Sus scrofa: one gene and its partner. The main gene of each other region encodes a partner of the protein of the gene in region 2 in a complex. Links are inferred from orthologs where the notes say so. Each region holds a gene or a part of one and is shown on either strand. Other genes may lie near its edges.

Region 1 (3,648 bases), on a different chromosome or scaffold from region 2:
CTGAGAGAATGTAGTTTATTTTTATTTTTTTAGGGCCATACCTGAAGCATATGGGAGTTCCCAGGCTAGGGGTCCAGTCAGAGCTGCTGGTGCTGGCCTACACCACAGCCATAGCAATGCAGGATCCGAGCTGTGTCTGCGACCTACACCACAACTCATGGCAACGCCGGATCCTTAACCCACTGAGCAAGGCTGAGGATTGAACCCGCATCTTCATTGATATTAGCTGGGTTCATTACTGCTGAGCTACAGTGGGAGCTCCTGAGAGAATGTAGTTTAGCATCAGTCATTTCTCTGGAGCCCTCAGGTAGGAGAGGAAAGATGAAAGGAGCCAGGAGCAGTCCAGAGTCCACTATCTCCGGTTCCCCTGCTTTGTGTTCTCTGGCGTGGGGTCCTTCCCTGTTTTGAGGACTAGAAGTACAGCCAGCCTCGTATAGTCCCAGTGACACCAGAAATCTCTGATCCCTAGCCACCAGATGGGAATTTAGAAAAGCGGAACCTTCAGTAGCTCTGGTTCAGTGAGCTATTTCTCTCCCCAGCCCCAGTAGTAGATTCAGTGCTTCTCGATGTTTCTAGGGGTAGGAGGGGCTTGGGGAGCAGGGGGAGGAAGATGGATTTCCAGTTTCCCAATGTAACCACTCACTCCCTTCTCTATCCTACAGTGTTTGAACTGGTCAACCAAGGGTGAGTGTCCCCATTCCCAGCAGGTAGGCTGCCTGAAGCTTCTGAGCTGCTAAGCTGCATGAGGTGGTGCAAGAGGGCAAAGGCCCGCGCGTCTGGTTTGCACTTCATGCATGTGTTGACTTTTCAGGCCTGTGATGGAAGTGCCCACCCTCAAACCACTCTCTGAAGACCAGGCTCGATTCTACTTCCAGGATCTGATTAAAGGCATCGAGTACTGTAAGCAGGGCCTGCGGGAGGACCCTCACCCAGGGGGGTGGTGAGCATGCCCTGGTGGTGGATGGGAAGTGGAGGGTTTCCTACTTCCCTCCTGGAGCCCAGGGATGTGGGCAGGAAACAGAATTGTATGAGATGCAGAGTCACCGAAGGTTGCAGATAGCTCTCCTGGGGCCACACTATGAGCAGAAACCCTTCTGCCACACAGAATAATGAAGAGAAATAGTGATAGTGACCATCCATCCAGCACTTTCTTATGTGTACCAGGCACTGTTAGGGACTCTCACTTGCATCATTCTTTATTCCCAGCAACCCTGGGATCCTGCTGACCTCCTGGAATCTTCATTCCTTGTATGTAAAGTACGAGGTCAAGGACTGAACCTGCGTCCTCATGGATAGCCACAGTGGGAACTCCTGAGAGGATGTAGTTTATTTTTATTTAGTATAAATAAAATAAAAGAGATACTTTAGATAGCATGAAGTATCTCTCACCAGGGCTGAAGTCAGCCCGGACATCAGTAGTTCTGATTGGCAGGTGTACTTTCTACTTCCGGTTGTTAAACATTTTGACTCATACTCTTTGCCTGTTACATAGGATTGTTGTGAGATTGGAATGAGGTGAATGGGAGAGGCCCCTGACTGCGCATTCAGCAAAGGCAGCTGTGGCTTCTGTTACCAACATCATCATTTCATTGTCACCACTGCCACTACCACCCCAGAAACGCAGTTGGGTCTTCCAGACCATAGGGTCATCCTCTCCCATGGGCTGACGTACAGTGGGGAACAGTTAGCCAAGTCTCCAGTCCTGTTCTGTGCTTCGCACCTCAAATTGACCTGCTCTAGTCACTGTTGGTTTGGTGAACAGGTTGAGTAGTGGCATTAATAAATGAAAATATGTTTGATTATTACAAGTCTTGATACTTCTAGTTGGGAGTCAAGCTGAACAACAACTTTCTCATGCACATGTGACTTAGACTATAGCAGGTGGTTACCAGTTGCTCTGGGCAGTCTCGTGTCTCACCCCTTCCTTCAGACAACAAGACAGCTTCTTTTGAGACACTCCTCTTGTCTTACAGAGTGTTCAGCAGGTTTGGGAGGGGAAGGCTGGGAAGAGCCTGGGGCCTCAGGAGAACAGTGAGGTTCCTGCCTGTGTCTCTGGGCCATGTGGGCTACGTGGAGCTCCTCACATTGTTTTTCTGGCCCCTGTCTCTCCCATCCTGTGTTGATGCTGCCCCCAGTACACTACCAGAAGATCATCCACCGGGACATCAAACCTTCCAACCTGCTGGTGGGAGAAGATGGGCACATCAAGATTGCGGACTTTGGTGTGAGCAACGAGTTCAAGGGCAGTGATGCCCTCCTCTCTAACACCGTGGGCACACCCGCCTTCATGGCGCCCGAGTCACTCTCAGAGACCCGGAAGATCTTCTCTGGGAAGGTAGGTTTGGACCTGCCTGAGATGCAGAGTTCTACCTGTGTTAGGGTCCTTTCCATTTTAAGTGGCAAATACCCAGCTCACTGGCTTTAAACAGTGAATCCATCAGATCATATGGATGAGGAGTGGGGTGCGTTTGGCTTCAGGCTTGGCTAGACACAGGGATTCAAATAGGAATCCATCTTGCCATCTCTCAGCTCTGTTTTCTGGAATTCCTCCTCAGGTGAATGGGTCATCAGCAGCTCCAGGCTACTTTCTATCAGTTTACCAGCCTCAGTAGAAAGAGCATTGTTTGGGAGTTCCCGTCATGGCGCAGTGGTTAACGAATCTGACTAGGAACCATGAGATTGTGGGCCGACTAGGAACCATGAGGTTGTGGGTTCGGTCCCTGCCCTTGCTCAGTGGGTTAACGATCCGGCGTTGCCGTGAGCTGTGGTGTAGGTTGCAGACACGGCTTGGATCCCGTGTTGCTGTGGCTCTGGCGTAGGCCGGTGGCTACAGCTCCGATTAGACCCCTAGCCTGGGAACCTCCATATGCCGAGGGAGCGGCCCAAGCAAAAAAAAAAAAAAAAAAGAACATTTTTCTTTCTGAAGAGCTCCAGCAAAAATCCTGGGGTTGGCTCTGATTGGCCTAGCATGGGCCATATGCTCATCCTTGAGCCAATCACTGTGCCTAGGGGAAGTGTTGCTCTCATTGGCCAGGCCTGGGTCATGTGCCTAACTAGAGGCTGGGGATTGAGGGGCAGGAACAGCTATGCCCCTGTTCTGAGCAGTCAAGAAGAGGTGGTTCCCCAAAGGAGAGCTGGGGGATTGGATGCTGGGCAGTAAAAGCTGTAGACACCTTTTACTGCTCCTCATCCCCTCACACAGAACTCTTTTTTTTCTTGCAGGCATTGGATGTTTGGGCCATGGGTGTGACACTGTACTGCTTTGTGTTTGGCCAGGTAACAGGCTGGGATATCTTGTATCCTGGGGGTTGTGGATGGGCCCCCTTGGATTAATAGTTACCTCTGCAGTTAGATAGTGCTTATTCACTTAAAAGTTATTTCATTTTATTTCCACAGTTAGATCTGAATATGAAAAATTATGCCTTCCCAAATGCACATAGCTCTATGTGATAGTCATATCTGTTGACAAAATGAACAGAGGATTAAAACAGAAGGATTGGCAGAGGCTCTAGTTTATAAATTCAGTAGTTGATGAATTTAGGGCAAGAAAAGCAAATGTGCTACCTCTGCCCACTCCTAAACCAGAAACAGGCATGCCTAATCAATAACTACTCTTTTCTCCTGAGCCCAGTTTTGCTTTGATGTTCT
Region 2 (4,295 bases):
CTAGCACCTGGATTACTCCAACCTTAAGGGAAGGACTTTTTTTTTGTATCTTCCTCTATTTTCCAAATTCAGTGATAACCTTTACAAAGAGAGGAAGAAACAGTTACTTTTTTAAAGCATCTACAGTTTTTATTTAATCCTTGCAACTTTTTCAAGTAGGTATTGACCCATTTTACAGAGGAAGAAAGTGAAGGTCAAAGGTAAGCCTAACCCTCAGAATCACAGTAAACAGGTTCGAAAAATGTCTGCTTTATTTTATGAACTGTTCTTTCCTCCATGCTCTGTCGTCAAAGAGCAGAAGCATCAACACAGCAAAAGAAAACTTTTCCCAATCCCAAGCTCAAGTGTTCTGAAACGGATTCTCATTCCCTGACATTTACTGAAAATGACCGAGTAGGAAGTTGTAATTTTTTAAAGGTTTTTTTAAAACCTGCCACATTAATAATTTGCAATAAAGCCATGTATACAACCCACCCCTGCACTATGATCACAAAAAAATTGCTTAAAATTTTTAACTTTATTCCTTCATTGCCCAATTTTAATAGTGAGATGAATGTTTAAAAACACTACTGTATCCTTAAACTTTTGAGAAAACTAGAAATAGGAAGGAGAACAGGCATATCTAGAGGTCCCTGATTTGCAAGTCTAAGGATAAATGAAATACTTTATTTTGGGGACCAATTCTCATCTGATAGAACATAAAGTACTCAATTCCACCTGGCTCATCTGATAATTTCTGCATTACCTTGGACAAATGCCATCTGAATACTCCCTACCAGCCCTTAGGTGCATTGCAGCCTCTGTGTCATTGTGTGACATCACTGGGTTGCTATGGATATAGGTGCGAGGTCACTCGCTTTCCTGTGAAACTAGAAATATGGAAAAATTAGAAGAGTCTAAATAATTGAACTGAAGATACTGATATCTATTAAAGTATAACTTCTATCATTTGCACTTTAAAGACAGCAACTGTAGCAGTCTCTTAATAAAGCAGTGCTCCCAATTTCAGAGTCAATTCTCTTCCTTAAGGGAATAAAAACCCCTTATTAATGTAGATGACTTAAATATAAAGGCATCAGTATTGTCATCTTTTGTGAACCAGTAAAATTATTCAAGAATTAATGAATCTGTAATACCTACACTGCTTCATTAAAAAGATTTAACACGCAAGGTACACTCCTGCATCTGCTACACACAGGAGATGCACTTTAAAACCTTTGTTACATAAGGCAAGAAGTATTTAACTTATTTATTAAAATAGTGGGAGACCTAAATCACTAGATAATTTTCTAGGTTTCATTTAATAATGGTCAATACTCCCCCCCACCATCAAACTGGTTGTCTGCCCATTAGACAAATGTAGTGTTACAAAATGGTGCAATACAGGCAGGAATCTGCATCCCAGACAAAATGCGACAACTGGAGATCAGTATTCTCTTTTCATCACCAATAAGGATGTGATAGCTTTTTTTAAGCCTCAGATATATCTAACAAAACAAATTAAAAAAAAAAAAAAAGATATTTTTTCCCCTTTAAAATAACTCCTCCCAGCCTCCACCCAGTCTAGGCTCTCTGCAATATGACAAATGCAGAATCTTCTGGAATGACTTGATACTGCCTCCCACCACCGCTTTGTTTGCAGTATCAGATCAGAGAGAATATTTTTTCAACTTATAGGAATTTCAACAGATGTGTGCCTGTGTTTAAAAGAGAAACGGCATATTATCACAAATTGAACCAGTCAGCTAAATTCACAACCTTTATTTTTAAGACAATACCTACCCTTTTCAATACAAAAAACACTAGGAAAAATTAGAGATAACATATTAAGAACAATCAATGAAAAAGCTAGCCAAACAAACGTTCCCCTCTTCCTAAAATCAAGAGGGCTTGCTTTGAGGTAAAGAAAGAGGAGCCTTTTGTTAAGAAAAACGTGAGCAAGGAGGTTTCGATTTTGTACTACTGCGCCCAGGTTTTCAGGACAGCCTACGTTTTTACCGGGGAGACTCTAAAGGACCTGTCTCGAGAGACAGTGGGAAGATTTGGGGAGAGGGGGAGCATCAGAAAACCGGGAGACCTGCTGAGTGAATGGAAAAGGCGCCGCCCAGACACCAGGGAGAAAAGAGGAACCGCATCCATGCGGTCCCCCGCCCCCACACGCCCAGGCTGGGAGGAGGGGAAGTGGGGCACAAAGGATGCGCGTGGCCCCGGCTCAGGTCCCCGGCAAAGCCAAAGGCGCGGCGGCCGGAGAGCCGGCTGCCCAGACCAGCCCTGCAAGACCCCGCCCCAGCCCGAGCGCGAGGAGGGCTGAGGAGACAGCGCCGCCGGCCCCGGGGGACGCTCGGAGCGAGGCCGCGTCACACCCGGTCCTCAGCGCTCTCGGGACCCTCCCCAGCTCCCTCAGGGGCGAGAGACCTGCAGCTGCAACAGGCAACCAGTCCCCCGGAAGAGCCGACGAAGGCCCGCGTCTGCAAAGGGGCTGGGGCGAGGCGGGGGGAGGGGAGGAGAAACTCACGTTCTTCATGGCCGCGGCCATGTCGTCGTAGCGCTCCGCCTGCTCCGCCAGCCGGGCTTTCTGCACCAGTTGCTCGCGGTCCACCATCTTCACGGGCTGGGTCGGGCCGGGCAAGGAGACCGGGGCGGCCTGAGGGGCTCAGGGGACGGCTGCGACGCGGCTGGAGCCCGTGTGCCGGAGGGACCGACCCACGAAGCGAGCGGCTGAGGCGGCGACGGTGGCGGCGCAGAGGCTGCGGCTCGAGCTGCGACCGCGGGACCGGGCGCGAGGCGGCTGCGACTGCTGTGCGTGCCGCGGGCGGACAACCCCCTGCGGCCCCGCCCACGCCGCGTGACGCAACGGCCCCGCCCACCCGCCCGCGCACCCCCGCCCCGGCCCTTCCGTTCCTTGGGTTTCCCCTCCCCAACTCAGCTCGGCGCCGCTCTCTGGGCGTCCCCTCCTTCCCCGCTGCCCCCCAACGAGCCGGGTGCTTCCCTTCACCCCGGCTGCTGTGCCCTATCTTCTCCAGACGGCCCCCACCCTTCGTCCTGCAGACCGCGGCCCTCTCAGGCCTCCGGCGCCTGGGCCCCTGGGAGTTGTAGTTCATCCTCGGGTGCGGCGATACGTTGGGGAGATCAGGGACAAAGGGGCAGCCAAGACTACATCTCCCTGTTGTCGTAGCGCTCAGACAGAGGAGGATGGGACGGGGAGGGGGGGGTTCCTAATTCTGCGGCCGCTGGGGACCCCTGGCGGGGACGGAGGATGCATCAGTCCCAGTGAGTGCTGATTCACGGCCCCGCCCCACATGCTTGGGGAAATTACTGGAGGAGGGGGCCAGGGCCTCAGCCCTGGACCATGTTTCTGAGATAAAATAGCAGGACATGGAGGGGGGTGGGGGTCTGGAGAGGTGGGGTCCGTACACTATTGATTAAAACTGTGAGGGTGGTGACCGCCTGAGGGATGGTTGAATTAAGGAGCCAAACCTTGGGGGACTGTCACCCTCCCCCACAAGGTTCCAGCTCCCTCCGCATCCCCACCTTGAGATTCTTGGACCTGACAGGTGGAAATCTGGAAAGACAAATACCAGGAGGGCGTCCTGGTCAATTTGTAGAAAGGATACAGCAGTAGTTTGCGGGTCTACCCCTGGTGAGCCCCTTCCTTCCTCTCCAGGGTGGAGCATTAAAGATTCAATTCAGTTAGCCAATGGCTGCTCAACACTGGGTTGTGTGTAGGGGTTAACCAACTCTTTTCTGCCCGCCTAGAATATACACGCTGAGGTCAATCTGACTAATTCTTGCTCATGTGCTTCCCTTTTTGACATTCCATGTAGCTCACACAACCCACAGTTTTGACTGCACGTTTTATTTCGTTTATCCAGCACTTATCTTATTGCACACCTACAATGTTCCAGGCACTGTTCTAGGCAATAGGGTACGGCAGAGAACAAATCAAATAAAATCCCTGCCCAAGAAAATAGGCAAAGTAAAGATAAGTGTGTAGAGTACTTTAGAAAGTAATAAAGAATTTTTTTTTTTTTTGCACCCACAGCATATGGAAGTTTCTGGGTCAAGGATCAAACCCACGCCTGCAGTTGAAGCCTGCACCACAGCTGCAGCAATAGCAGATCCTTAATCTACTTCCCACAAGGAAATTTCCAGGGATTTTTTAAAACAGTGAATATGAAGTGTTGTGTATGAGACCAGAGAATAAAGGAGTTTCGGAGAATTATTCCAGGCTTGATTCTGGAACAGGGCGTGGAACCTTACCCTCAAGGGATTCAGAATTTGTTAAGTGGCGTTAA

What was found. Proteins that work in one complex are often made in the same cells at the same time.
Region 1: the proteins of YWHAG (region 2) and CAMKK2 are in contact, whole or in part, in a crystal structure (PDB 6Y6B), measured with the Homo sapiens proteins. The link is inferred for Sus scrofa from reciprocal best matches to the Homo sapiens genes YWHAG and CAMKK2. Residues at the interface, in NP_036611.2 of Homo sapiens: Ser46, Val47, Lys50, Asn51, Arg57, Arg132, Tyr133, Gly174, Leu177, Asn178, Val181, Glu185, Ile222, Leu225, Asn229, Trp233; in NP_001257414.1 of Homo sapiens: Leu99, Ser100, Leu101, Gln102, Glu103, Arg104.

What each region holds. Positions count from the first base shown.
Region 1 is NC_010456.5:31,348,804-31,352,451, forward strand, and holds part of CAMKK2 (calcium/calmodulin-dependent protein kinase kinase 2), read left to right. Parts: intron 1-662; coding exon 663-684; intron 685-811; coding exon 812-900; intron 901-2,135; coding exon 2,136-2,335; intron 2,336-3,222; coding exon 3,223-3,276; intron 3,277-3,648. UniProt on the Homo sapiens protein: Calcium/calmodulin-dependent protein kinase belonging to a proposed calcium-triggered signaling cascade involved in a number of cellular processes. Isoform 1, isoform 2 and isoform 3 phosphorylate CAMK1 and CAMK4. Isoform 3 phosphorylates CAMK1D.
Region 2 is NC_010445.4:9,993,341-9,997,635, reverse strand, and holds the start of YWHAG (14-3-3 protein gamma), read right to left. Parts: upstream 2,835-4,295; 5' UTR 2,603-2,834; coding exon 2,516-2,602; intron 1-2,515. UniProt on the Homo sapiens protein: Adapter protein implicated in the regulation of a large spectrum of both general and specialized signaling pathways. Binds to a large number of partners, usually by recognition of a phosphoserine or phosphothreonine motif.